Linked DNA regions of Arabidopsis thaliana. The protein of the gene in region 1 interacts with the protein of each later gene in a pairwise test. Each region holds a gene or a part of one and is shown on either strand. Other genes may lie near its edges. The genes, in order: AT1G75490 and AT4G00130.

Region 1 (4,141 bases):
TAGTATGGACCAATTCTTGAGTTGAAAGTCCATAGATTTTAACATGGTATTAAAGTTTAGCTAACTTGAGAAAGATGTGTTGTTCGATATATAATTTTTGGTCCAATATTAGAATTTTGTTTGAAATAGACGGATAAAAGCATTATTTTAAGGAGAACGTGTTAAAAATTTCACATATACACTTCAATGCTCTACATTATCTTTCTTGGTTTTCTCGGATCAGCTTACACGTCAGCTTTTTACATATAAAATATCATCTTTTAATTTGATGTAAACAAGAAGTTCATTAACAGAATTTCATATCTTATTTACCTTATACAAATAAATTTCATTAACAAAAGAAATTCATATACATAAGGAAAAACACAGTGCATAAGCGACTTTGTCTCATAATCGTTATCTGGCATAGGTTAGTCTACCATGTGGATTCAAGATTTCGTATTTGAATCCATTAGTTAAATCATATATAGCCCGTTATTGGAGACTGGAGACCATATATAAGCCGAGATATAATGATGTTGGGCCGGAATAAACGGGCCAGGTTTGTTATAAACCACGCCATATAGTCTATCAAGACTCGCGAGGATTACACGTTAGTACAAAGAGAAGCTAAGAAGAAGATGCAAAGAAAACCAAGAGAATAGTCAAAGACTTAAAAGCCCATAGAAACAGAGACATATAATAGTTACACATTGACCGTTACACACAACGTAACATCCCGTTTTCTTTATACAGATACATTGCACTTGATTTAATAGTTTTCCCCATGACACATTTTTAGCTTCGAGACAAACAACTGTCGTTTTTATGTTTTTTTTGATATGGTAAGAATCTGCTTTCACACTATACAGACAAACCACATATATAGATGTGCACATATATAAGTACATGTAACTGGTGTTTATTTACATATATATCCTAGTTCACGGTGACTATATTTGTATATATATGTAGTTTGTATATGATAACTTAACAATTAAAGAGAGTCTAGTGACACCTCAAAGTGGGGAATGAAAGGAATCCCAATTAGAATAGCCACCGGAAATACAAGTATCAAACCGAGAAATATCATTATCTCCTTCATGAACCCATGGAAATCCTAACGACATTGTAGCTTCTTCCCATATTGAAGAATCATCCATTACCGGCAAATCCACGTTTATATGCTCCCATGATATCTCCTCTGTCACTCTTCCACATGATGACATCTCGTTGGATGAACACGGCGACTCAGAGTCGCTGCTGCTTTTTCCACCGGTGTTGCTGCTTGGTGTAGTCTGGGACGCCGGAGACGACGCCGTTTTAGGGTAACTTCTTAAGGACTCAGGGAGGTTGAGATGAGCCTCAGGCCCATAGAGCTTACGAGCTGCGGAGTCATAAGCCAAGGCAGCTTCACGGGAGGTGTCGAAGGTACCGAGCCAAAGACGAGCTCCTCGGTTAGGCTCGCGGATCTCAGCGACCCATTTGCCCCAAGTGCGTTGTCTAACACCTTTGTAAGTGCAAGACGCGTTATCGGGTCCACCTTTTCCTCTCATACAACCTTTCCTCGAACTAGCTTGGACGGTTCGTTGTTTCTTATTAGCACCAACCATCATTACTTTTGGCTCTATGGATGACATGTACGGATGTTGATAACTCGAAAGTGATATTATGTGACGACTTTTGGTGAGTGATAAGGCAAAGACATGAGGTAATGGTTAGGTGTGTATATATACTAGAAGAGAGTGATGAAACGTGGCGAGGAGAAGATATAGCTGGCGCAGACATGACGGAGGGTCGTGTCGAGAGGAGGAAGCTGGTGTTGTGTTTGTAATCCTAACACTTGTCTCGAGAGACCCTTCTTTTTTTGGCAACAGTAATCGTAAAACCAGCAGAGAGATTGATGAGTTTGAGATTTTTCCAAAAAAAAAAAGAAAAGAGAGAGAGAGATATGGATAAGGTCATCCGCGATTGGGGAAATATAAAAAGATTTATCACTATGAATTAATGGCTCGTCATGTGAATGCTTCTATCTAATATCAAGCTATGGCTTTATTCATCAGAAAACAAAATCAAGCTATGGCTTTAACTTAATTATAATTTCAAATAGCTAAAAAGAAAGAAAAAAATACATGATTTTTCTTATATATACAAACTTTTTTAATTAAAAAGCCTTTAGATTTATAAAGCTTTTCTCTATGAGTCATGTAATCTCTCCTTTTGTAAAAAAAGAATCATCATCTAATGCATAAACATTGAGAAAGAATTGTAGTTTTTTTTTTAATTCGTTCATAGAGTCACCATTTTCTTTCTTGATGTTATCCATTTCTCCAGGCTTTTTAATTGCCACGTGGGAAATTATAGCAAAGTACAAGTATGAATGTGTGTAAGGGTCAGTCATGTGGCGGCAATATGTCCACGCAAATTAAACGTACGGGACCCGAAGGTTCCTCGATAAGAGACAAACAAAGTTCACTGAATCTTACTTCTCTGTCTTAGAACATTTGTGGCCGAGACACACGTGAAAAGGCGGCCTTTTTAACCGATAACTACAAAGCTCCGGTTCCAATTTATCTAACTTATTTTTTGTTCTAAATATTATCTCTAGTATTCTCAGATAGAACTTTTTAAAAATTTGAAGTCGTTCAATGTCAAGTAGATTATTATGGAAATTGCAAAACATAATTTACCAAATCAATGTAATTGCAACTAAAATCCATTAATTTGTTTTGGATTTTTTTTTTTTTGAAAAAATAAATTTAGCAAGAGAAATGAAGATGATTTATGTAGATCGAGAAAATAGTGAGATACTTAGTATGAATTATCTTGTTCGATTGGGAATTTGTTATGATGGATTTGACTCCGATGTCTGCTTATATAACTTTAACATATCCACAATATAAAAAATGTTGAAGATATGCAATTAAACTTATATTTCTAGTACTATATTCTGTGTTGACAGCTAAAAAAACAAAGCTCTTAATGCACTAAATTAATTCTCTGTAGAAAAATGCATTTGAATGGGGATCATCTGCGATTCCACACTCTGAGGATGCAATCCAGGTGACACAGCATGCTGCTAGTTATTTAGTCAGGTAAGAATGTAAGATCACCCTCATCAACGTTTTCACAGTTTTCCCAACAACATTTTTTGTTTTCTCAATGGATTGCGGTTGAATGTGGTGCAGTGAAGCTAGGACGTCACTGAACAGACACCATCTAAGAAAGTGCTGAGCAATCTCATATACAACTATAAGCCTACTTACTACGCAGGGTAAAGCCACTAAGGACAGTCTTTGCACAATTCTCTTGTTTTTCGTTGTTGACAATGATGTCCTTTAACGATGTCTTTGGATCATACAATCTTGCAGGAGGGGTTTCGACGAGGTTTACATTTTTACACAACCAAGATCCCGTTTCTAAGAAGTTTACTCGTTACTCGTCGTCGTGTGTGTTTGTTTTGTAACTCTGATTTACATTTAGGGAGCCTGCATGATTTCCCTTGTTGAATTTATCTTTTTGGAATTAGATCATTTCAAAAGATACAACTGTGTTTGATTCGTCTTTCTAGCAAATAACTTCTGACTTTTGAGATTGGTTACCAAAACGGCAAAACCGAAGCTTTGTAAATGAGTAATATTAACGAAGTTTTTATTGCATTGAAATTTAACAATCACTTAGATTATTTGAAAATGGTTTTTATTTGAACTTTTCAAATACCATTTTCATAATCAAAAATATAAAGTAAAGAAAAAAAGTTTACATAATAAAAATTTTTGTAACAAAAACCATAAAAGTTAATGTAAGAGTTAATTTTATAACGGACTTTCAGGATGAGACGTGATACTTAGTTCAGTTTGTTTTCAATTCATTAAAATTCAACATTTAGAAATTTTGAAAACCAAAATATTTTATGTAATAAAAACTTTTACATAATATAAAATATAATTAAAAAATAAGTTACATAATAAAAATATTCTAACAAAAATCATAAAATTAATCTAAGGGTTAAAAATTTGATTACGTGAAAAGCGGTTGAACTAATAAGACCTCTTACGACCCATAGAAACGGACGAGATGATGCTTAGTCAGGTTTGTTTTCAATGTATTGAAATTCAACATTAAACCAAAATATTTATAGAATAAAAACTTTAGTGATTAA
Region 2 (3,447 bases), on another chromosome or scaffold:
AATCATAATCTTCGGCGACAAACAATGATTAGATCTTCATTTTTACGATCATGTTAGTGATTTAATGGACTTGTTAGTGATTTTGTCTTCATTTTATATTATGTTAGTGATTTTTATCGACTTGTTAGTGATATTTTTTTTCCATTTTTACGTGCATGTTAGTACTTTTTGAGGGGACGGGTAGAAATCACTAACATAAACGAAAAATGAAAAAAAGTTTACTAACAAGTCGGTTAAAATCACTAACATAAACGTAAAATACAGACACAATTACTAATAAGTCGATTAAAATTACTAACTTTAACGTAATAATGAATAAATAACTGTTTTTTGTTTCGATTTTTGTCATCAGAAATTATGATTTTCTATTCGATTTTTGTCGTCGGAGATTATGATTTTGTAGACGCAAAAATGAAAACTGATATACACTAAGCTACTAACAAGATTATAAAATTGTTTATATAATAATTTCCTTAAAACAAATCTAACTCAAAATAATGCATATTATAATTTTTAATAGTTATTTAAAGTATATATATAACTAACCGGAAAAATAACCGTATATAGTTTTACGGAAATTTACGATAAAAGATACAACCGAAGAAAATCAACCGCCAATATTAATGAAAAGTCACGACAAAAAGTAACCATTAATATTTTAATAAAAAATTGTGCTAAAAAATACAACGGATAGATAACAGTCAATAAGATAACAGAAAATAACGATAAAAAGACACTAACAAAAAAAGTGTCAATTAATATTTTAACGAAAAGTTGCGATGAAAAGACTCAACAAAAAAAATAACCATCAATATTATAACCGAAAGTTGCAATGAAGAGACACAACCGAGGAAAAATAACCATCAATATTATAACCGAAAGTTGCAATGAAGAGACACAACCGAGGAAAAATAACCATCAATATTTTTACAAAAAGTTGTGATAACAACACAAACAAAAAATAACCGATAATATTAACGAAACATTACGATGATAAACACGAAAAAAAAAAACCCCATCAATATTTTAATGGAAATTTGCGATAAAAAGATAAAAAAAAACAAAAATAATCGTCAATATTATAACGTAAAGTTGCAATAAAGAGACAACCGAGGAAAGTAATCATCAATATTTTTATGAAATTTGTGATCAAAAGATACTAACAGAAAAAATAACCATAGATGTTAACGAAAAGTTATTATGAAAATAGAAAAATGAAAAGTTACGATAAAAAACACTAACAAAAAATAACCGTAAATGTTTACAGAAAGTTACGATGAAAAGACATGAATGAAAAAAATAACCGTCAATATTTTTTACGGAAAATTGCGATTAAATACACAACCTTTCAGAGTACAAAATGCATTTATTGAGATTGTTATTTATTATATTTTTTTTGTAAACTAGCGAGATTGTTATTATTAGTCGAATCAATATTGTAGGAAGAAGACCTAAAGACAAATTCGGAGGTCAATTAATAACGCGTTAAAGTATGTGAGGCACGTTCGAGTGGAATAGCGCGTTGGACAGCCCAACATGAATGAATGATCGACTTTTATTGAAAAAGCAAAACTAGGGCAAGAAAACGAAACGTCCACATTAGCCTATAAAATCACTAAACCTAAGAGCAAAGCACATTCACGGCGACTGGAAAGTAGAAAACCTTATTGCTTCCCGCAGATCTCTCTCTCTCTCTCTCGTAACTGTTTGTTCGATGGCACTGAAGAAGGCGGAAGAAGTGATCGAGAGCCCTCCTACTTCAAGTGAAGAAGAGGAATCTGGCTCATAATCTGAGTCTGAAGGCGAAACTGAATCGGAGCCCGAGCCCGAGTCCGAGCCTGCTAAGACGATCAAGCCGATGCCTGTCGTGACCAAACCAATTCCAGAGACGTCCGCGAATGTACCTGAGACTTCAACGGCTAAGCGTCCTTTGAAGGAAGCTGCTCCTGAAGCTATTAAGAAGCAGAAGACATCGGAAGTTGAGCATGTGAAGAAGCCGACAACTAATGATGAGGTTAAGAAGATTGCTGGAGAGGATGCTAAGAAGATGTTGTTTCAGAGATTGTTCAGTGAGGCTGACGAAATCGCTTTGCTTCAAGGTTTAATCGATTTCACATCTACCAAAGGAGATCCTTATGAGATATTGATGCTTTTTGCATTTATGTGAAGAAACTGATCGAGTTCGATGCTACCAAAAACCAAATTGTTACTAAACTTCAGAGGTTGAAGAAGAAGTTTAATAACGCTGTGAAGAATGCGCGTAAGAAGGGTCAGACAGAAGATGAGGTCGAGTATGCTAAAGAGAGTGAGAAAAAACGTTTTGACTTGTCCATAATGATTTGGGGGAGCAACGGTGTTTTGGTTGCTGGTAAATCATCAAAGAAGAAAGTTGCACCCAAAGAGATGAAACCTGAAGAAACAGACGCAAAGGTTGTGAACGAAGGTCTCTCCATTGGTAGAGAGATGGTGCCGTTCGGGAGTTCTTGTGGTTTGGATGAATCTAAATTAACTACGGGTTGGGAAAATGTTGAGGATGGAGCTGAGAAGAGAGAAGTGGAGGAAAAATGGAAGAAGTTTAAGGATAAGCTGTTTGAGCTACTTTACGAGAGGTCTGTGCTTATGAACAAAACTGAAGCGATGATGTTCAAAGCTGAATCTTGAGCGGTTTGTCTTTTTATTTCTTATTATGCATTTTGAGTCTTTTTGTTAGCTTGTGGAACTAAATCCTTATCTAAGTCTTTTTCGTATTTTCTTTATGCCCCTATATAATGTTGGATGTTTGGTTTGGGTATAAAACCCTTTTATTTATTATTCTTGTTCGGTTTCTATGATATTAGACAGAAGATGGATTAGCCCTATTAGTTCTTCGACTTGTCAATGTGTGTTATCATATGCATACCTTGTGAAGTTCAGCTGGTGTTGGACTGCACTGTTAAGAGGCAAAATTCATAATCATATGTGTTAGCAATTTACATATCGATAAGATACCAGAATGGTACATGTCCCGAGACCCGAGTTAATGTTCTGCTTGATCGAGTTTCTACTGCTCTCCATGTCGTGGAGACATAACAGCGTTTTGTCACATTTTTTCCACAACCTGTTACAGTGTTCTGTGAGCTTTGATCTCCAGTCGAACATGAAAAAAACAACGTACTAAATAGTTGAGGCATGACTGTATTAAAAGGTCATAGTTCTCCTTATCCAAATCTTTTGTTTGTTTCGATTTTCTAGCCGGACATTTTTGCTTAGGAGTAGCAAAATGATAACTAATGAGCAAAGTTAAATATATTACTAAAGGAATAGAAGATATTTATTACTTACAAAAAAATCTCATCCTCATTCTTTTGAAAATGGAAGATTTGGGAAATCGTCATAGGTTTGGGAAACACTAGACAGAGCGTACTTCCCGAGAACTCTACGAAGCTTAAATCAAGAAAATTGGGAAAA

The links.
Region 2: the proteins of AT1G75490 (region 1) and AT4G00130 interact in a two-hybrid assay, tested with the Arabidopsis thaliana proteins (one large-scale study listed by BioGRID).

The regions. Positions count from the first base shown.
Region 1 is NC_003070.9:28,333,523-28,337,663, reverse strand, and holds AT1G75490 (Integrase-type DNA-binding superfamily protein), read right to left. Parts: upstream 2,163-4,141; 5' UTR 1,620-2,162; coding exon 999-1,619; 3' UTR 674-998; downstream 1-673. UniProt on the Arabidopsis thaliana protein: Putative transcriptional activator that binds specifically to the DNA sequence 5'-[AG]CCGAC-3'. Binding to the C-repeat/DRE element mediates high salinity-inducible transcription.
Region 2 is NC_003075.7:46,408-49,854, forward strand, and holds AT4G00130 (DNA-binding storekeeper protein-related transcriptional regulator), read left to right. Parts: upstream 1-1,706; 5' UTR 1,707-2,006; coding exon 2,007-2,099; intron 2,100-2,169; coding exon 2,170-2,661; downstream 2,662-3,447.